Caenorhabditis elegans: one gene and its partners. The protein of the gene in region 2 purifies or fractionates together with the protein of the main gene of each other region. This does not show direct contact. Each region holds a gene or a part of one and is shown on either strand. Other genes may lie near its edges.

The links. The genes of interacting proteins can lie anywhere in the genome.
Region 1: the proteins of H03A11.2 (region 2) and gyf-1 fractionate together in Caenorhabditis elegans (co-fractionation; one large-scale study listed by BioGRID). This does not show direct contact.
Region 3: the proteins of H03A11.2 (region 2) and ttr-5 fractionate together in Caenorhabditis elegans (co-fractionation; one large-scale study listed by BioGRID). This does not show direct contact.

Annotation. Positions count from the first base shown.
Region 1 is NC_003280.10:6,680,593-6,687,252, reverse strand, and holds the start of gyf-1 (GYF domain-containing protein gyf-1), read right to left. Parts: upstream 3,016-6,660; 5' UTR 3,005-3,015; coding exon 2,949-3,004; intron 2,558-2,948; coding exon 2,452-2,557; intron 2,145-2,451; coding exon 1,941-2,144; intron 1,721-1,940; exon of another isoform or gene 1,572-1,720; intron 1,466-1,571; coding exon 1,297-1,465; intron 1,224-1,296; coding exon 918-1,223; intron 873-917; coding exon 192-872; intron 146-191; coding exon 1-145. Other genes in the region: ift-74 (Intraflagellar transport protein 74 homolog), read right to left, coding at 4,307-4,372, 4,421-4,531, 4,583-4,860, 4,913-5,158, 5,606-6,113, 6,168-6,454, 6,504-6,609.
Region 2 is NC_003284.9:15,223,755-15,235,038, forward strand, and holds H03A11.2 (NLPC_P60 domain-containing protein), read right to left. Parts: upstream 6,892-11,284; 5' UTR 6,868-6,891; coding exon 6,824-6,867; intron 6,775-6,823; coding exon 6,684-6,774; intron 6,394-6,683; coding exon 6,243-6,393; intron 6,199-6,242; coding exon 6,134-6,198; intron 5,958-6,133; coding exon 5,709-5,957; intron 5,665-5,708; coding exon 2,901-5,664; intron 2,832-2,900; coding exon 2,725-2,831; intron 2,676-2,724; coding exon 2,490-2,675; 3' UTR 2,115-2,489; downstream 1-2,114.
Region 3 is NC_003281.10:9,326,698-9,331,443, reverse strand, and holds ttr-5 (Transthyretin-like protein 5), read right to left. Parts: upstream 1,129-4,746; 5' UTR 1,128-1,128; coding exon 983-1,127; intron 938-982; coding exon 801-937; intron 756-800; coding exon 699-755; intron 651-698; coding exon 570-650; 3' UTR 516-569; downstream 1-515. Other genes in the region: cepr-104.1 (CEntrosomal Protein Related), read left to right, coding at 2,078-2,238, 2,356-2,929, 2,981-3,114, 3,169-3,289, 3,331-3,632, 3,915-4,137; C40H1.7 (Fungal lipase-type domain-containing protein), read right to left, coding at 4,452-4,647, 4,703-4,746.

The DNA.
Region 1 (6,660 bases), on a different chromosome or scaffold from region 2:
CACATGTTCACTCCACCAAATGCAGCTGGATACAAAGGATTCGTCGCGGACGGGTAAGGGATCGACGGCAAAATTGGGCGTGGAGGCTCAATATCTTCCAAATATTCAAATGGCGTCGAGGATCCATGCAATTTTTTGAGGTCACCTGGAAAATTAATTATTTTTTTAAAGCAAAAATATGATAAACTTACCGATCGTTTTATATTCTCCGTTTTCGCCTCTCTGAACTCGAAGTGATTCATCCGTAAAATAACCCGCTTTGAACCATACATTCATTTGATCTTTAGGGAAAGGACCACGACGAGTTTCTGTTGGATCCATGTAGTAAAACTGAACAGGTTCTTCTTTTACAATCGGAGCTGGTGGCTGTGGCGTTGGTTGATAGAAAATACCACCTCCCATCGAATTATTAGACCACGCTGATGGATCAGAAGGATATGTAGGAATAGGAAGATTCGGAACATCCGTTGATTCACTCTCTTGCCGAGAAGGAGCAGAAACTGGAGCAGATGAACGTTGTTGTTGTTGCTGTTGTTGTTGTGGTGGATGATTTTCTGTGGATGCCTTTCTAACCGCAGCAACCATGTGATTCCGATCTTTCCAAACAGTTGAATCAGAACCAACTTCTCGATTATTCCACAGAGTAATTGGAGGTTGTGCTTGCTGCTGAGTCGATTGCTGCTGTTGTTGTTGCTGTTGTTGCTGTGTACGTTGAATCCAAGATTCAGAACGAGCCCAAGCAGGACGTTCAGATGATTGAGGGGCCGCATTGGTGGAGGTTCGAGATGTACTTCCAACTTTCGACCATCCTTCCTCCTCTTCTTCATCGCTCTCGCTTCGAGTTGCAGCAGGATTCACCGCCTTTGGACGATCTATACCGATCATATTTTCAATCAGAAAATTTCCTTAAAACTTACCAGTTGGATCGTTCGGGTTGTACAAAGCGTCAGCTCTAGTGTTAAAAGCTGAACCCGTCGTGCTGCCACCACGACCGACGCTTCCCGCGCCACCGCCACGACGAAGTGCATTGAACTTTGATTGATATGTTCCAGGAGAATCTTCGTTTTGAGCAGCTGGCGAGCCACCATTGGTCGCGCCGCCAAACCCGTTTTCTCCGCCGATTCGTCCGCCACCACGGCCTGCAAAGAATGCTCCACTTGCTCGACCAACAGATCCACCACCACGAGGAGTTGTACCGGTGCCACGATCCGGTGTGCCTTTATCTAAACAATATTGTTTAGATTGTTTTTATTTTTTATGTATCAAAGTCTAATTACAAAAATTCGCAACACTTACTCCAAGATGATTTCGGAGCCCAGCGACTGGTTGGTGATTGTCCGTTTTGAAGTGCTCCGGAAGCGGCTCCATATCCACTTCCATAAGCAGCTCCAGCAGCAATTGAGGCTCGATCAGCGTGCGATAAAAGAGACATTGCTTTCGAAGAGTTTATGTTGTGTTGCAGTTTCTGAAAATGAAATATATAATTTTCATGAATAGGATTTGTTAGAAATTTTATTAGAGAATAACTACTCTACCACGGAACATAAACATGAAACGAAAAAACTAAGCATTTTCAACTTAAAAGTGTTTAACAAATAAACTTATTCGATAACACAAATTACTCCGATCATTAGGAAAGTGAAATGGTGGGATACGAACAGCAAAGAGCCTCATAAAGTCTCGCTATGCCTTCCTCCCTCCAAGGACACACTATACTTTTCTTGTTTAGACGAAAGAGTCAGTGAAACTGGATAAAATAGAAGTTCACATCAAATTCTAGAATACAATGTGCACACGAATAATAAAATATAGATCCTAAACATAGATCCTAAACAAATCTGTCAATTATCAAAAAAGTACCATGCAAAATTGGAAATCGTCAGACAATAGTGGGATAAATTTCATTATTTCTAATTCTAAAACTCTTGTGGTATCCCTACCTGTTCATGTTCACTGAGAGGCGTGTTCGAGACGAGCGGCAGGTTCTTCTCGTTGAAAAATAGCTGATCGCGCAACGCATCAGGCATAATCGATCCGGTTGGAGCCAGCTCGAGAAGACGTTCGCGCGTGTACGAGAATTCCGAAACCACTGGCGAAGAGAGGACCGCGGCGGCTGCAGCAGCGATTGCCGAAGAGGAGATTTCCTAATTGAACACATTTTCAGTTTTTTTTAAAAATAAGAGTTTTTTGTCATGGAGGGAGGGAGTCAGTGATAGCCCGACTTTGAGAGGTATATTCTAAAATCTAAATTCATAATTATTTAGTTTTTGATGTAATGTTGTGACAGACGATTATAATATTAAAACCGGGTACCACGGGGACCATGACCCAATAAACACAAAATTGTAAATAAATTATTTTCCTTTTTTTTCTAAATTTCTAGATTATGAGATGTGCTAAGAATATATTTGTGGAACGTGCTGGTTTTTTCCCGTAGATTCTGAAACTCACATCGCCGCCATCGTCAAATCCACCCCCACCAAATCCAGAGGAACGATTGTTTCCCGAAGAAATTGAGCCACCACGGTTAGCAGCATTTGGACGCATCCTGAAATGACTTTAACGCAATTTTAAGAAAGAACTTGTGGCTTGGATTTCTAATTGATTTTGCTAACTTTTATATTCTGGAATTCATATTATTCATTTTTTCAGCTGCAGTCAGCAAATTTGTGGTAAAAAAGGTACAAGTTTGAGAATTTGGGTTTTATTTTGGTTTTCGGCATTATTTATTTTATTTTTCTTTTAATATTGCTACAAACACGATCGAGTAGAGCCTTTTTAACAAAAAAATACGAGCGATAAACTTCTTAGTTGAAAAGAACGCATTTAAAAATCATTTGCTCTATGATTCAAAACTAGAGGTTAAAAATGAAAAATATCTTAGATTACTTGGAAAAAACTCCATTTAATTTTAAATAATAATTATTTTTTAAGATTCAAACACATACCAGCTTGGATTGAAATTTTGTTGAGCAGTTGGCTCGGCGGACGAAACTGACGACATTTTGAGTAGTTCTGTAAAACGAAATATAATTGAAACGCATACTTCAATATCCTTTTTTCAAAAATGAGATTAAAAAAAGACAAAAGGCTTATTCGAGAAGTTTCTATCATGATCAGATTGAAAATGTTTAGGATTCAACTTGTGTAACTCGTCAAAGGCCTAGTTTTGACCGCAGCGCAAAACCTCGGCCAACGAAAATTGCTTGTTCAAAGATGAGATACGCAGAGACGAATGTTACGTGGCAGAAGCCCGAGTAACTAATCTTATCAGGCATTTAAAAAACGAAAAGTTCAGATTACTATAAAAACTGTATTCTTAATTCTCATTTTAGCATGTATGCAAAGGGTAAAAGTTTATCGTGAGATATTGGTTCAATATCTAGCTGCCGGGCGGTGGTTGCGGACAATTTTCTCACCACACCCTGCGTCTATTTATTTCTCGAGACCACGCCACGAAACAAAGATTACTGAAATAAAGAGAAGCAGAGAAATGAGTTGCGTCGCGGTCGACCGCATCGCGCCTACTTTTTTCGGCCCCCCGAGCTACAACTTGGAAGAACAACAAAACGTTTCCACCTTTCTTTAGCCAGAAAATGTTGTGAATATATCGTTATCAAGCAAAAAAAAAGGCTATGTAAAATTAGGCATAATTTTTGAATTGATTTCTTGACTTTTCTTCGTATCCTTTGTAGCTTTTCGCGCAGATAGAACTTATTTTATTTGTTTGTTTAAGCTGTTGAATATATTCGTTATATTTAACAGTCAATCAATAAAGGTTCTCAAAATATAATCAAACGATATTTTAAATAGAATTACAATATTATTTGACTGCAAAAATGATGGAAATGTTATAATTGAAGAAAAATTGAGAAAACTCAATTTAAAACTAGCCTTACTTAAACGTTATCAATCAAAAAGATCGCCGAAAAGGGTAAAACGACGGAAACAAAAAAGGAACTACGGCGACCTTGCGGAAAGGGTGCTTCATACTTGATATATATCTTCTCCTCAAATTTCCAAAAATTCTAAAAACAAAAACACGATTAAAAATCGAGAAAATCAGGAAAGAAACAAAGAAATTCATCAGCAAGAAAATTGCGAAAATCGGGCGGGAAAATTTCAAGGTACGGTAGTCGTGACGAGACATGTTCAGATAAAGTTTGTCGTGTTCCTTAAAGCTACTGTAGGCAAAGATTTTTCAATTTTTTAATTAGTATTTTCCAATAATTTTTTTGCTGTTTCAGGAACAGTTCAGCATATTCAATGTAAATTTAATAAATAAATTTAGTGAAAAATTAATAAATCAGGTGAATCTTTGAAATGGATTGGTCAAAAGCATGTTATTGTATTCTTCCTGAAGTCGAATGCTCTGAAATTAAGTAAAATATTGTTAACTCGATTAGGAAAAAATCCACACCTCTGTTTTAATATCTTCGTAGTCAATTTCAGTCTTCCTCAAGCTCATGTCAAGTGATTTTGCAGCAGTACGTTTCTCAACAGCTTCCAGTCGTTCGCGAAGCATTTTGTGCTGGAATAAATTTATAATTGGTAAAACTAATATAGAACCATATCGACTCACTTGAGAGTATCCTGGAATTGAATGAAGTTCATTTCTTATACTTGCTACATTTGCTTCTAACTGTTGCATTTCATGTGAACGAGCTGGAGCTTCATCTTCAAGCCTTTTTTGACGTTCTTCAAGCTCTTGTCGGAGCCCATCTGAATCTACATTCTTCCCGACTCCCGCCAATTCCTGATCTATTTTTTTCTCCTCAGTTTCCAAATTATCAATTTCTTCATTTAACGCCAATTCCATATCCTCAATTGATATAAGCTCTTCTTGAAGTCGAACATGCACTGAAATAATATTTTTTAATGAGGGTTATTTTTAATCGCTCATCAAACCTACTTTCTTTAAGTTCATCCACATTTCCGGTCTGTAAAGTGAGACCTCGTTCATCTAAATCAGTTATCTGATCTTCTAGATTCACTTTCTTCAAATTGGCAGATATTTTTCTCAAAATCAGTACAACTGCGTCGGAGAATTCTTCAATGTCTTGCTGATAAATGACAATTTGCTGTGGATAATTTTCAGTCGTATCGTCAAGCATTGTGCTTTTCGAAAGTAGATCAAGATATTTTGTGTGATGAGCCACTGAAATATTATTATTTTTTGAATTCTGAAACTCGATTCTAACTTTTAATGTGATCTGCATGTCATGTTTTCAAAATTCAGATTTTCAGATTTTCAAATCCCATAATGGTCAAACTTGAACGTATTGATATTGTATTGCCATATTGAATGTATTGATTAGTGTCTGTGGGTATTTTGTTTCAAATGATTGAAAATGGACTGTAGTGCTTAAAATTTTTACAGCTCTAAAATGTATTAAAATTACATAAGCCACTTCAACCTTGCCAACTTAGGTTCATTATCTATCATATAAAACAAACTCTACTCCACCTATAAGACCGTGTACGCACAATTCCATGAAGAATTATTTGCGGTAAAACAATGACATATTTAATAGATACGTCATTTCAAATACCAAATACCAAACACAAATGCACAATAGTTTCTTATCAAAAAAAGGAAACGTACTGATTTGAGCTTCTCCTTGTGAGTCATACTCGTGTAATTCTTCTGAAGCCAATGAAATTTGATCTTTAACAGTTTTGTGTTGTTTCTCAATCACAACCAAATCTGCGTTCAATTGTTTCATATTTTCTGACATTTTATCTCTCCATGCTTCTGGTGTTAGTGCACTTTGCATATCTTCCATTAGTTTTTCCTCTTGTTTTTTGAGTGTATCCAATGTTTCTTGTAGTTGGATTGCCTTCTTTTTCAGTGGATTACTTCGAATTTCAATTTCATATTTTGAAATTCTATCATCTAAATCTTCATTTTTCGCTTCCATTTCTACAACTCTTTCTCTTAAAAGCTTCGCTTCAGACTTTAAATCTTCATATTTTTCTTTCATTTGAGGATCCATTGCATGTGTTACTGCTTCATTTAACTTTTTTTGTTCTTCAACTTCTATTTCCAATCCTTGAAGTTCCTCTTCTTTTGCACGACGTTCATTAAATACTTCTTCAGCTAATGATCTCATCTATAATTATATAAATTATAACTTAAAGTGATCTTTCATCTACAGTAATCTAACCTCATCAGCTTGTTCCTTCATTTTGCTTGCTTCTAACTCAATATCCGACATATCGCCATTCAAATGAATTTTTTCCATTATTTTATTCAAATCCAATAATTTTCCTTGCAAATCACTAATCTCTTGTGCTTGAGCAGATGCTCTTGATTCATATGCATGTAGCTCATTTCGATCTTTTATTCCTTTATCTCGTTTCTCTTTCATACGAGATATTTCAACTTTTATAGCGTTTTGTTTCGCTCGAAGAACTCCGATGTAGTATGATTTGTCAAATACTTGACGGGAGTCTGGAAAATGTTTGATTAAAATTTAGAATGGAGTCTAGAATATACATACTTCCAGTTCCCATTCTTGACGGAGGAGCTCGTAATCCTTGTTGAGTAACTGGTCTCAATCCGGCTGTTGGAGGTCTTGCCATTCCAGTCATTGGGCGTCCACCCATCTGGAAATGTATTAAAAATTTTGAAAAATATGTATTTACTATTGTGCTATC
Region 2 (11,284 bases):
TTCATGGTTCTCTGTATCGTGTTTTTTTTTGTTTGCAACCAGTATTATCCTATTCATGGAAAACAAATAGCAGGATAGCGGAAGAACTATCAAACAAAATAATCATTTTCTAGTGAGAAATATGTCAGTTGGTGTCTCGAAGGTCTCTTCATTCCGCCATTCGGTGACAGCGGATCATAAAAAATAAATGGATTTTTTGCGGGACACAAAACCCTCCCATCGAACATCTTGACACTGATGGAGGATGTGGGATGCAGAGACAAAATTGATGGGAGATAAAAGAAAATGCTGGAGCGTCGAGACAGAAAAAAGGTTATGATTAAGATTAAGTCTAAATCAATGAATAAATGTCTTGCACTTTTTTTTTATTTCTCAACCACAACTAACAGTATCGACTGAGAAGGAAATAATGAAGGCCTGCGGGAGTTGTAAATGGGGGGGGGGGGGGGGTGATAATATCGCAACAATTTGATAGGAAGATGAAAATGAAAACTAATCCGTGTGGATATCATCAAGCAGCTGCCCCCGATTCACCCCCAATCATTATTACACCACAACACTATTCTCATCAAATCCAGATGTTTTGCATTTCGTGTGATTGACAAGAATGATTAGCACGACGGATTACTTCAAACAAACATTTCGAAATTCGATTTTACAGATTTTTAGTTGTTTGTGAAGTTTTAAACTTTTTATGAAAATTGGAAAATGCTCAAAATTCAGGATTATTGGCAGAACAAGGTGTAATAAAATTTTAGTTCAAGCTCTATCAGTTATATTCAACAGAGATCTGAAACCGGAAAATGTGCTTATTGGCTGCCCACTGTATGCTCCGATAGGTCTGCAATTTACCGATTTGCTGGAAATATTAATTTTCGGCAAATTGTCGATTTGCTCGTTTACCAAACATCAATTTGCCAAAAGTCTTTAGAAGGATTTTCAATAAGACGGAAACACCTAAAACTGTTCCTATTTGAAAATTGAATTTTTTTGCCCGTTTTTATAGATATTTCCATTGAATTTGCTTACTTTTCAAAATAAATACAGGAACATTCATAGACTGCGTATAGTTATGCCGTTTAAAATTCAGAAAGTTCCAAAAAAATATGCAAAACCATAATTTGCAGAAAATTTTCGACAAGTGTCGTTTTTCCGGAAAATTCGACATATAGGCAATTTACCGGTTTTCCGATTCGCGATAAGTTTTTAATTCCGTCAATTTTCCAACTTTGCCGATTTGCCGATTTTCCTGAAAAATCGTTTGCCGACCACCCCTGATTTATGCACATAGTAGTCGTTTTCTTGAATTTTTTAATGGTCAAACTTTAATCAAAAGGTAACAATTAATTTATTTTTATGATACATACATACAATAAAAACGATTTTCGGTGCTAAACATTTGACGGAAAGGAGGGATATGAACTGGCAAAGTTTAGCAAAAAAGTTCTCAACAAAAAAAACCTCCTATTTCAAAAATATGAATAGTTAGAACTCCTAGTTATCAAGCAGTAGTAATGAAGCTAATTGAAACAATTTTCAAATTTGAGAGTTCGTCAGTTTGAGTTTTTGGAAGAATAGGTTAGTTGAAATCAAATCAGAGACGATTGGAAATTAGATTTGCTAGATTTGTATCCAATTTTTCGCAATTTCGGGAAAAGAAAACACACACAGCGAGAGGATGATATAAATGTGAAACACTGCCCATGTTTGTTGCAATGCAAAAAATGGGGAGAAAAAGGGAGAAGATAAAAAAGTGCGTGGAAGAAGGAGTATAAGGGGGGGGGCAGTGAAGATGGAGAATCAGGTCAGACAGTGTCACAAGCCGGAGAGGAAAACGAATCATTCATTAAAAAACAGGACTCCACTAAAGATGGGAAATAAGAATAAAAACATAATTGGAAAAGAAACAACTTGAATCATCATCATCACACTGAATGTGAGATATCATCATGTATCAATTGGGAAATTTAGAGACAACATTTCAAAAACAGCAGTTTTTGCAAGACTATGTAGATAATGTGTAGGATCATTGATTGCAAAGTTAACTGCTTTTTCGAAACTTTCTTATCAGCTCTGGAGTGATTTGCAAATTTAAAAAGTTACGGTTATATGTACATAAGAAAACGTGTTTTATTTATTTTTGTTCTAGCAGTGTGTCGGTGAAAAAAACAATTCCTGAAAAAAAATTGCATCTTTAATATCCCAAAATACACGCGATTAGGTGAGAGATAAAAAAGGTGATATAACTGCACATTTTGAGGGCAGCAGGATGTTAGAGTGTTGCTGAGTAAAAGAACCACAAATAAAAATAGATAAAAATAGAAAACGTCGAGACAAGTGATAATCAACAAGACTGAATCTTGCAGTAGAAATATTATGTGAAAATTACAACTGACAATTTTTTCATATAAGTTTATTACAAACAATTGAAAGAAAAACTATACAAATTTTAAATAAAAAACACAAGCATAATACATGCATACTTTGATTTATTTTTTGATAACAGAACTCTCGGATTCTTGCGTCTCTTCCTCTTCCAGTATTGCCTTTTCCTTGTAGAAGTGGTGACCACTGTCACAAGCATTGTAATTGTAATGTTCGGTATTTGCATGATTTCGCTTGACAGATTCTAGGAGTTCACCAGCAATACATGGAACTGGACGGTATTGGTAATCCTGAAATATAACTATTGGACCATTTTTCAAAACCTTTAATAAGACATACAATGTCGTAGCTACTACCAGCGTTTTGAGTCAGGTACCCTGCGTGATGAGATGTTGTCAGTCTTGAACCGGAAGAAATGCTGTATCCCTCGAAACCGGATTCGGATTCTGAAAAAAAACGACATTGCCAATTTTGGCACTTCACAACTGAACTGAAAACAACAGAAAATAACAAACCTTCCATAAAATTGGAAGTCTCATAGATATGTGATCGACTTTGAGCAACTGAGCTGCTGTCTCGTTTTGCTTTCAAGATTATTCCGCTCTGTGCCACGATATCACTTGTCAAATCAACAAACTCTTCTTGGTGCACAGTTTTGGCATCAAATTTACGGCCCTCCGATGATAAAATTTTGTGTTGAATAGGAACTGATCTAATCACTCTCTCGTTTCTTCTATGTATAAAGTCTTCTTGGTTCTGTGTCTTTGCTTCGAAATGTTGACCATCTCCTTGCAGGATCTTATTGTCAGATGGAACCTTCTTGGCATACCTCTCTCCACTGATGTGAGTGAAGTCTTCTTGGTTCTGTGTCTTTGCTTCGAAATGTTGACCATCTCCTTGCAGGATCTTGTTGTCAGATGGAACCTTCTTGGCATACCGTTCTCCACTGATGTGAGTGAAGTCTTCTTGATTCTGAGTTCTTGCTTCGAACTGTTGACCATCTCCTTGCAGGATCTTATTGTCAGATGGAACCTTCTTGGCATACCGTTCTCCACTGATGTGAGTGAAGTCTTCTTGATTCTGAGTTCTTGCTTCGAACTGTTGACCATCTCCTTGCAGGATCTTATTGTCAGATGGAACCTTCTTGGCATACCGTTCTCCACTGATGTGAGTGAAGTCTTCTTGATTCTGAGTTCTTGCTTCGAACTGTTGACCATCTCCTTGCAGGATCTTATTGTCAGATGGAACCTTCTTGGCATACCGTTCTCCACTGATGTGAGTGAAGTCTTCTTGATTCTGAGTTCTTGCTTCGAACTGTTGACCATCTCCTTGCAGGATCTTATTGTCAGATGGAACCTTCTTGGCATACCGTTCTCCACTGATGTGAGTGAAGTCTTCTTGGTTCTGAGTTCTTGCTTCGAACTGTTGACCATCTCCTTGCAGGATCTTATTGTCAGATGGAACCTTCTTGGCATACCGTTCTCCACTGATGTGAGTGAAGTCTTCTTGATTCTGAGTTCTTGCTTCGAACTGTTGACCATCTCCTTGCAGGATCTTATTGTCAGATGGAACCTTCTTGGCATACCGTTCTCCACTGATGTGAGTGAAGTCTTCTTGATTCTGAGTTCTTGCTTCGAAATGTTGACCATCCCCTTGCAGAATCTTATTGTCAGATGGAACCTTCTTGGCATACCGTTCTCCACTGATGTGAGTGAAGTCTTCTTGATTCTGAGTTCTTGCTTCGAACTGTTGACCATCTCCTTGCAGGATCTTATTGTCAGATGGAACCTTCTTGGCATACCGTTCTCCACTGATGTGAGTGAAGTCTTCTTGATTCTGAGTTCTTGCTTCGAACTGTTGACCATCTCCTTGCAGGATCTTATTGTCAGATGGAACCTTCTTGGCATACCGTTCTCCACTGATGTGAGTGAAGTCTTCTTGATTCTGAGTTCTTGCTTCGAAATGTTGACCATCCCCTTGCAGAATCTTATTGTCAGATGGAACCTTCTTGGCATACCGTTCTCCACTGATGTGAGTGAAGTCTTCTTGATTCTGAGTTCTTGCTTCGAAATGTTGACCATCTCCTTGCAGGATCTTATTGTCAGATGGAACCTTCTTGGCATACCGTTCTCCACTGATGTGAGTGAAGTCTTCTTGATTCTGTGTCTTTGCTTCGAAATGTTGACCATCCCCTTGCAGGATCTTATTGTCAGATGGAACCTTCTTGGCATACCGTTCTCCACTGATGTGAGTGAAGTCTTCTTGATTCTGAGTTCTTGCTTCGAACTGTTGACCATCTCCTTGCAGGATCTTATTGTCAGATGGAACCTTCTTGGCATACCGTTCTCCACTGATGTGAGTGAAGTCTTCTTGATTCTGAGTTCTTGCTTCGAACTGTTGACCATCTCCTTGCAGGATCTTATTGTCAGATGGAACCTTCTTGGCATACCGTTCTCCACTGATGTGAGTGAAGTCTTCTTGATTCTGAGTTCTTGCTTCGAACTGTTGACCATCTCCTTGCAGGATCTTATTGTCAGATGGAACCTTCTTGGCATACCGTTCTCCACTGATGTGAGTGAAGTCTTCTTGGTTCTGTGTCTTTGCTTCGAAATGTTGACCATCCCCTTGCAGAATCTTATTGTCAGATGGAACCTTCTGGGCATACCTCTCTCCACTGATGTGAGTGAAGTCTTCTTGATTCTGAGTTCTTGCTTCGAACTGTTGACCAGCTCCTTGCAGGATCTTATTGTCAGATGGAACCTTCTTGGCATACCGCTCTCCACTGATATGAGTGTAATCTTCTTGATTCTGAGTTTTACTTTGTTGATCAGTTTTGTTGGTGGATGTTCTTGATTGCTGGGAATACAATATGTGATGATCCGAAGGATGTCTAATCTGGGTATGTTCAGCTTTCCGATAAATAAAGTCTTCTTGGTTTTGAGTTGTATGTGCCATATTTTGTTTCCCATGTATTTCTCTGTGAGTGGCGCTGTGTCTGTCGTGCGCCTTGACTGCTTGTTTTTTTGAATACTTTGGTGAATTAATATTGTCCTGCGGAGTTTTATTGCTTGTATTCTTTGACGATGTTGCTCGATCTGCTCCAGATTCTTTAAACAGTTCGTTAATTTGACTGTTATTCCTGGGGGAGTAGTTTCGATTGACATTCACTTCGATTAATTTGTGTTGTTGGTTGTTTGTTCCATTTTTCTCGGCACGCGTTTGCACTTTTGCATTATCAATTGATGTGCCACTGTTACTGTTATCTTTCAACTCGGCTATCTGTAATTTTTTCTTCAGTGTCCATCATTCACTATTAACTATACCTGATGAAGCCTCCTCGCTTCGAATACTTGACTTGAATTTCGATGTGTTTTTTGATATCCAGTAATTTGTTCGTTAATGCTCACAGTTTTCTTTGCACCCGTTAAAGTCGATTGCCGTTTCGATTCTGCAGAGTTTGCACGTTCTTCGCTGTGCTGCCGTAAAGCTTGTTGAATCGAACTCCGACTATTTCGTTCTCTTCCAGACTGAGATGTTGCTCGACCATTGTCGGCTTTCAATATTGGTGGTAGCTGAAAATGTTACGCTTAAAGTTATAAAACTGCACAAATTTTTTAAAGTAATTAGGAGTTATAGAATAAAAGTTTTCAAGAAATTTTGTGAAGCAATTTGGCCTTTTTTTAGTTGATCTAATTATGCGTAAACACAATTTTTAAGTACTACCTAAGAACCTGAAGCTCTCACTTACTTGAACAGTTTCTCTCTGTGTTGACCTTGTCTCTGCCACACTTTGCTCTCCATTTTGTGTCTTTGCTGTAAGAGTATTAAAATTGATGTTTTCTTGAATGCTCTCTCACCTCGATACTCTGATGATTTTATATTTCTTGTTTGAGTTCCACCAGTTCCGGTGTTATTTTCCTCTGTGAATAAGGATGAGATTGTTGAGTAATGACGTGTTGGTGTTGTGCGTTGTGATTTTTGATGATAGCTTGATGATTCGAAGGAAGTCTGCAAGTTAGAAAGTTAGAAATGTTTTAAAAGTTTATCTGAAGTCGTCAGTAATTCTGCATGATAAATATGCATTTCTACAATCTTCTTACTTTGGTAAAAACGTTACTCAAAAAGTAATCATATTCGAATGAATTTTTAATGGACAACTTATATGTACATATCTCGTGTTTTTTTTGGCGTATAGACGTGCACCACTAAAAAGCAAAATTTTCTCGCAATTAGTTATGTGTTTTGGAAAAACACCAATGAAATTTTTTTTTAGTATCATAGTGTAAAAAAAGGATTACCTGAGTAATTGATTTTTCCTGACTCAAGCCAGTCTTTCCATCTCCTAATTGAAAACTACTTGCGTTCCTATCGTGTGGACACTTGTGACGCCTGAAACATTCATACCAATTTCATGTGTTCTAACACAACAAAAACCAACCCGCATGTGCAAATTTGACAAATGCATTTGGCCCCGTGAGACATGAGACTTCTGAAAACAATTGGTTCAAAATGGAAAATTGATGAGATGTGCTGTCAAGTTTTGAAATGATGATAGACATGCCGAAAACTTTCAATGGCAAAAAAAAGAATAAGAATAAGAGTTGTTAGTTATGATAGTGATAAGATGAATGTCGCAATATGTTTATCGAAAGCGCATTAATGTGCTGAATAAACATTCGAGTAAAGGAAATTTGCCATATTATAGCGAACATCAGATTGTGCCGACAAAAAGAAAATTGCAGGAAAGGGCGAGTTTAACTGTAAATTTCGGCGGTCAATTTTATTAAAAATAAAATAAACGTTTCAATTTTATTTTTTTGAAAACAAACACGTCGTGTTTTCAAGTTGTTGTTTGGCTGTTTTCCAAAAAAAAAAAACTGAGACATCAAAAACCATGGAAAGTTCTTGTAGAAATCCTAAGTCTGTTGAAAAAAGTTATTAAACGAGAACAAAATATTTCTATTTTCTTATCACTAACGTTAACGAAAATCATATTTATCAAACTCTAATGACATTAACTGAAATTTTATGAACAGGAGATGAACTACAGATTGTTCGAATTTTGATTTAATATTTTTTTAAATTGGAGTTTTATTAAAATGAAAAGCAATATTTTGAACTGATAATTGAAAATTGTGAACATTTTACTATTAGACTGGGAACTTAGCGGCCAAATTAATTTATACTTCCTAAATAAAATACCTTAATTAAAAATTGTATCATATTGACATTAAAGTTTGTAGTTGAATGGTTTAGCTTTTTTTTTAAATAAAACCTAATGAAACTTTATAGGTGTAGTTTAGGGTTATGAAACAAGTATTTTGTTGTTTTTTGTAAAAAAAAATAATTCAACATGCTTGAGACTATTCATAATTGATTCACTTCTCAGGATGTTGTAAATATAATCAATTTTCCAACTGCAAAAAAAACATACAATTATTATTATTTTCATAAGTAATAATCCTTTGACAAAGCCTCGTATACTTCCATTACATGATGGTTTATGTACTTTATGATTAAGAAATTTTTGAAATGTTTGACAATAGTGACTTGGTAAACTAAATTTTAAGATTTTTGTTTTCAGAAAATCTGATTCACAAGTTACAAATAATTGCTAACAATCATTTTACCAAACGCATGATTGAAGGGAACACGAATAAAAGAAGCCGATCTCAAATCTTAAAATAAGGAATTTTAAAATTTTCTGACATATGTATAAACTCATGAGCAATACCAATATCTTTGGCTAGGTGACGAAAAAGCAAAAAAAAAAAAGAAAAAATGGGTGAAAAGAACGAAGAAAATTTTTCATGGAATAGGCAGAATAGAAGAAAAAAAAACATCCTTCTTTTCTTGCGAATGAAAAATAGATTTAGATGAATAAAGCAGACTTGAAGAGGAAAACCGAGGAGAAAGAGAAGGATGAAGAGAGTGGGGAAAACGGGAAGAGAGATACGGAAAAACTGCGTACATTTTTGGCTTGATGTCTAATATGGAATAGTTTAACAAGCTGCTCTCATATAGCGCATGGCACCGAAACTTTGTTGTCTTGTTCGTATGTACACATCAAAATGCTTCACCCTCTTCTTCTTCCCCCCATATCTGCCATTTGCACACGTTGCTATGGGCTCTTTATTCCGTCATCCCCCCCCTGTCTTCTCCGCTCTCCTCATTTGCCGCCATCCTTTTGCTCATACGTTTGTCTCTTTGTCGAAATTTTTCGTACTTTCACACGGGTAGTAGGTGCAGATTTTGGGCGAGTTTGGAGGTAGGAGAAGAGAGGAGAAGATAATTGGCACTCAGCATAAAAAAAAAGAGAGAGGACAGGGGGACGAATTTTGGAGTGTTTTTAAAAACAACAAGTCAGAAATCGCTGTGGGATTACCGCTTTCCGCGGAACTTTCTGACTTGGAAATCTACTTGGAATTTCGGTTTTGAGTAAGAATGGGCTCAGAAATAAAAATGAGGGCAGAGCCGAAAAGGAATATATTGATGACAGTCGCGGAAGGGATTTTATACAACGTTGGTAAAAAATTCAATATTCATACAATAAATTAATGAATTAAGGTAGGCTCAAAATGACTCCAAAAAGAGCAAGAATTTGAAGAAAAAAAAATTTATGTGAAGTAGCGTCAGTGGGAATTTAGTCTAAATAGACTTATAATATTCCAAAACGGCCAAATATTATAATAAAACACTCCAACAAATTTCAGGTTTTTCATAAAAAAAATTTGTAAATTGCCAAAATTGGAAAAATATGAGCTTTTGAGAAAATCCAAAGCAATGTCGCATGTTTCGACCCCAACAATATTTTAGACCGAATAATTAAAACAAAATCACCATATAAAAAATAGAGAAAAACAATTTTTTTTTGGTCGACTTCCAAAACTACGAGTGGCAAAACTGATAATTAATTGTCACTTTTTGACAGTAAACAAAAACATTTCAAAAAATTTTTGAAATGTTTTATTATGATATTCGGTCATTTTGGCACCATAGAAGTAGTTTTTCACACTTTGCTCACAGGCACTACTCCACCTTTTAAATATTCATCCCAGTTAAAAAACATCGATAAAAATAATAATATCCAGATAAATGTGTTAAAACCTTGCAGATTTTATTTTTGCCGATTCAATGTTTATTCTTATTTTCTGACTATAATTTTAAAATTCAGAAAATATCTTTAAAAAAAGGTTTATTAGCATTTATATAATTTAAAAATAAACTTATCTTTATTATTCTCCTTAAAACGACCAAGCAAAATTATCGAAGTGAAAATATCATAAGTTATAATTTTGAAACAATTTCCTTCTACACTTTTTTTCAAAATATTTTTATACACATCAAATTAGGTTCAATCGAATTATAAATTTTCTGAATATATGTAAACAGTTTTCAATTGTCGCAAAAACCTTCTTACAATAGAATTACCACAACTTGAACGCTACATCTAAATGCCCTTAATGCAATTATAGCAATTGAAACATTGAAACATTGATTTTGTTGGAACAAAGAGATCTAGGAAAACACTAATTTTGTGAATGCACGCGAACTTCCAAATAAGAAAGTTTCTCCAAAAATTGCAACTTCTAAAGAATAGAAACTTGGAACAATTGGAAGAGGGAGTTGGGAGAAAAAAACACAAAAAAAATAACGAGTTTTCGACTGGCCAATTTTGAGTGAAATCATGAGCGGCGGGAATTTTTGTTTCTCTGCGGACGGCCAACCAAATACGAATCGGTTTTCACTTCTTCCTTCTCTGTTGTTGCCCTCGTTTTTTTTTCAAATTTGAGGTTGCGGGTGGCGGTTTCAATGATCATCGGGAGTATTTTGTTTACTATCTGTCACGCAAAAATGGAGTGTGCGACAAGTGTAATGAGTTAGTTGTGCCAAAAATAGGAAAATGTTTTATGACCAATGTATCGTATGATCTAGATGAGATGTGCATCACATCGTTCGCATTGCTCCATTTCGAAAATTAATTTCTGTAAACAGAGCCATCATTTGTGCTCCAAATATTGTTTGCAATATTAATCTGTAATTAGTCGGTACTGAAACTTCTGGGAAAAGCTTTGAAATAATATAAAAAGGGAAGTACAGTTTGTGGGTATTTTTCTTTTATAGACTAGAAATCGTTCAATACGGCGGAATTTCATGAAAAAGACCTCTTGAAAAATTCCGAAAATTTTTTATGGCGGGTCAAAGTTTCAAAAAAACACCTCATTTTGCTGAAATCTGATATCTCGTCAACTTTTTTGTTGCAGCAACTGGTATATAGTTTTTCTGAAAAATTTTCAAGTATTCTAGTAGTGATTTCCTGAATTTGTTAGAACTTACAGCAAACAGCTTCCAGCTTACAGAGAAATTTAAATTTACAAAGACGATTAAAGAACGATCCGTTTTTCAAGCAATGCAGTGCGGATCTAGGATTCAGGTACACTACCTGGTGGTGATCCCACTGGGCTATAATTTAAGCTATGTCCTAGCCGAGGACTGTGGCCGATAATCCAGTCATTTATTGCTCCACTTCCCAAAAGAGGCTGAGTGAAAAAGTTTTATTAAAAAATAACAAAATAATCATGAAATTAAAAATTATAGAGAGTTTGTTTTTCTGTAAATGTTTTACACAGTTTTAGATTTTTAGTCATGTTCTTTCTTTTTGAAATTTTTCAATGCATTCAGAATTAAAAAAAAAAGATAACGTTTTATTTTCTCACAAGTAAATCACAAATAATTAGCTACCTCATCGAATTGACTAGACTTTGTGATAAACTGAAAGTTGAAAACTAACAAGTATTCGTACTGTTTGGATTTGGAGTAAAATACTATATCACAGATGAAAGGAAATGGAAAATGACGGTGTTGTGGAAAACTCAGTAAAAAATTGGATAAGTAAAAA
Region 3 (4,746 bases), on a different chromosome or scaffold from region 2:
AGTTTTTTTGAAGAGAATATTATATTTCAAAGTATTTAGATGCGTTTTTCCATTCTCTCACAATTCTATGCTTTAAATAACGTCAATATTTATAACTTTAAAAAAGAAAAAAGAAGACACAATAAAAAAGAATGCGTGTTGGCCAGTTTGTGCATTCCGACGTGGTGGTGTTTGCGGACATTACACCAAGTGACGGTACGAAAATTGTTGGCCGTAGTAGATTACTGTCGATATTAAAAAAATTCAATTCAATATCCAGCACAAATTGGTGGTATTTATAAAATTTACAACGATAATCTTCTAGGAATGATTTTAAATATTTCAATGAGTTTTTTAAAATTCGAAATCACGGATAAAATGTGTTTTCGAGGATTGCAGTATCCCCTGTGATTCTTGCACTATAGGGAAAATATCTATATTTATTGCATTCCTGAATATTCCAGTTATACTTTATTTTTATAGAAAATAGGATCGAAATGTTTTCTCTGAAAAATTTGAAGTTGCAATCCAAAATTGTTATTTTAAAAAGATTTATTTCAAGAAAAAAGAGTATATATAAGTTGGTAAGTTTAGTGAAGACAGTCACGTCCTTCTCCTGGGAAAGATCCAGCAAGTTGAATGACTCCGGCATCGTAAATATTACGGACAGTCTGAAAATATTAATTTCAGTTTACTTCCAGTTTTTTTAATCTTCTTACCTTTCCCTTGTTGATGTAGCTATCTGGGATCTTGATAGTGAACTTGCGTTGGCAGGGCTGAAAATTCAATTATCTTAAAATGTAATAAAGTCATCCAGAAACCTTAATTCCATCATTGCAGTCATGGTAAATGTTAAGTTTTGGGTCGATTGGAGTCACTTCATCTTCGTGTCCAGAAATTTCAAAATCTCCGTTGCCATTGGTCTTTCCAGAAGCCATCAAATCATCGGCATCGATTCCTAGAAATAGACTTTTAGGAAATATTCAAAAAAGTTTTTGATTACCTCTATCATCATCATACAACTTGACCAAAACTCCAACAGCTGGTTTTCCATTGCAGATCAGTTTTCCACGTACTCCAGCCGATTGGGTATTTCCAATTAAAGCATAGCTTGAGGCAACAAGGCACAAAAGGATTATAAGCTTCATTCTGAAATTCTTTTGTTGAGAACAAAATGATAAAGTAAAAAAGGCCGGGATGGAAGAATGGAACCAACAAAGAACCAATAGCTATGCTCTCAGAAAACAACATGTTTACGAAATCTCAGGAAAAGATAAGAAAAAGAAGATAATTCGGAAAAAAAGAGAGATTTGTTGTTATATATCTTTTTGATAAAAAAAAAGCTTGACAGAAAAGTGTGGTTGTAGTCCACAAATTGTATTAGTTTCCATGGAAAATAAGTAGATTTAATCAATTTATATACACCTGTACGAGAAAATATACTAAGAGATGATCTGATTATTTGTTACCTCAAAGTATATCATTTTCAAAACAAATGGTGTATCAGACAATTGTAAACAAGTCAAACACCAACTAATTCATTAAAAAACATAAAAAACAAAAGTGACCTTTCAATTAGAATCAAACAAGTAGTCATACCTGGGAAACTCTAGCCAGGAAAACGTATCCGAAACTGTATGAAAAAAAATACAAAGAGAACAAACTCAATAAGATATGCCAAAGGTTGATGTCAACATTATGACCAAAACCTAAAAACAAACATCCGGCAAAGAGAAAGGTCAGAATAGGCATGTACGAAGGTAAATGGTTAACATGCAGGCTCTTAGGTAGACAGACCCACGATCATCATATTTCCCAACTAACATTCTTATTTACATGCCTGTTGCATGCCTTCCTTACGCCTGAAAGTGTTTAATTGAAGAATGTATTACTCAAAACACCTGCTTTCCTTTAACCTTCGATATAATTTTTGTTTAGTATATTTGTTTCTTTTCAACATTTCATTATTCTCCTTTCCATAGTAACACACCCAACAAAAAAAATGTAAAGAAAAGGGAATTATAGATTAGCTCCAAGCATCGTCCTTCTTTCCAAACTTTCTTCAAAATATTTTTTTACAACTATTATTCTTCCCCCAATGTCGTCATCTAGGAACTTTGATCTGGAGTACGACGATTACAAAGAACGACGGAATGCTGCTGGAATGGGAAGTCGTGCGAGCTCGAGGAATGGTGGAAGATTCAAGCCAATAGACAAAGAAAAAGAAAAAGAGAAGAAAGAGATTGGAGATTATGGATTGTAAGTACTTTTTTGATTTCTGGATTCATTGTCAGAAGTCAGTTGTATTAATAGCTTTCAAAATCCTAGACATCGTGCAGTTTTTCATGATCCGTTACCTCACTAGATACCTTGCAGACCCAAAAATGAGTATAAAATGCAAGGCTACGACGAACGGAGCTCAGATGTTGGAGCCGATCCATTGGCATCAGTCCGAACTCTCCGTAACAATCTCCGAGTCATGTCCCTTGAGCATCGTGACAAGGACGAACCTGTCAAATCACATTTGTGCCAATCAGCTTGTGATGATCTATCAAAAGCCGAGAAACAACTTGTCGATTTGAGTCACAAGAGAAGCGACGCAGTTGTCAGAGGAGACTCACGGCAGGCTGAACAGATAGCAAAGGATATGGATAGAGTGAAGTCTGATGCAATCAGAAATGCATATTCAGATTTAATGATGGAAGATGGAACTATGAAAGCATTTGGAGTCAATTCAAAATGGACACCTGATAAGAATCCAATGCCATCAGATGATTGGAAGCCAATGACACCTATGAAACCTAGGAAAAGAGCTGAAACACCAAAAGGAAGAAAAACTGAAAGTAGGCAAAGTAACAGAGGAAATAATGATAATGGAGATCAAAGAATGACGTCAAAGGCAACCACAAGATCCCCAGAACGGAGAGTTATTCCAACGGAACCATCAAAAGTAGACTGACATTAAAATAATAAATATTGGAAAAATAAAGTAACATTTCAGCCAAAAACAACTAGAAAAAATCAGCGCCTTTCAACTATCGGACACGTTCCAGAGGCAATTCCAGTAGTCGATACTCCGTTGCCAGGAGGATCCACAGTTCAGGATGATCCATATAAAATGCCAACATATGTGGGGTAAGGGAAGAGATCTAAATGTATATAAATTTCTACATATTTTCTAATTTCCAGAAGATGCCCACATTGTCAATTAACAGAGTCAGGTCTTGGTAGAGCAGGTGGAATGGAAAAACACTTTGCTAAATATTGCAAAGTTATGACAAGTTGCAAGTATTGTATGAAGTTGACAATGGTAGGCTCTTTTTCAGGTTTAAATCGTAAATTTCCATTTAGGTATCTCAACTCACTGATCACTTAATATATCGTTGTGAATTTCTCCAAGACACGATGGAAGCTTGTAATGACTGTGGATTAGCAATTGAGAAAGAAGATCAAAAACGTGGAGGAAGTCATCCAATGTGTCGTGGAAGACGTCCCCCGACAGGAGCACAATGGTGTCCTTTGTGCACAATTGCAGTGGAGGATAATGAAGAGAATTGGAGAGAACATTTATTAAATAATTGTTATAATAATCAACGGAGAGATGGTCCAGAAAAAGATCCATGGGAGATGAAACAAGAGCAAGAAGATATTTTGTATGTTTTTGTTTTATTAGTTTCTGTGGTGGTACTTTTCTGAAAATCAGGGCTTGAAATTAATTTCGAAATGAATAGTTTAGCGAGTATATGAAGTTATGTGGTCCGCTGAGCGTGATGTGCACCTATAAATAGTTTCACTTATTTCCCTATACTTTCATTTTTTGAAGCAATGAACAAAGTTTCCAAAAAATGCAAAGATTTTAAGAGTTTATTATTTTGTTATTTGAATGCAGAAAACATCCGTACTGACCCTACAACACCTTTAATCCAATTTTTCAGACTTGGAGCAAAAGAAAAGAAGAAGCGTGAAATGGAGGAAGAAGAGCGACTGAAAAAAGAAGCGGAAATAAGACGGCAACAGCAACAAGTTGTTGTGAATAATACAGGATATCCTGGAAAAATGATCGACGCCGATAAGTTGGTGGTGGCTCTTCAAGAGATTCAAGAACGCAAGAAAGCAGAGAAAAAGAAGAAATTGAAGGATATTGAGAAGGAGACTTGAATACTGTGTTTTTTCTACTGCAGTTAACTGTGGCAGTTCATTTCTTGGTTCTCTTGTCGTGTCAAAAAAAAAGAACTGATATCTGTGCTGTCAAATTAGTATAATTTGTTAAATGAAATACGGTAATTGGATCACGATTATTGATGAATTATCAATTTGCGAATTATTTATTTATCTATATCTCTGTCCCCCATTTATTGTATTTTCCAAATTTGTAGTACATTTTTCCTGAAAATGCAAACTTTTTAAAAGTTCCGATGTAATAATAAGAATATATTTTTATTGACAAATACTTGGTGTACATATTATGCTTTTTATAAAAATATTATTACAGCACCCAATATCACAATCAAAAGATCATAACTGAACGTCTTCCCATTTTTAACCGCACTCTCTGCAATTGGCCTGTAATCTTCCTTATTCTTCGGACATCCATCAGCTGACCATCTGTACAAGTCCATATTAAAATAATGTGCATGGTCGGCATTTGACAGGTTCTGCACCTGACTGCTGAAAAAATCAAACATTTTTGTTGATAGTTGCTGATAAGAAATGTTGCGAAAACCTGCAAAACGGTTGATCTGCTTGCTCGCAAATGACAAAAGAGTC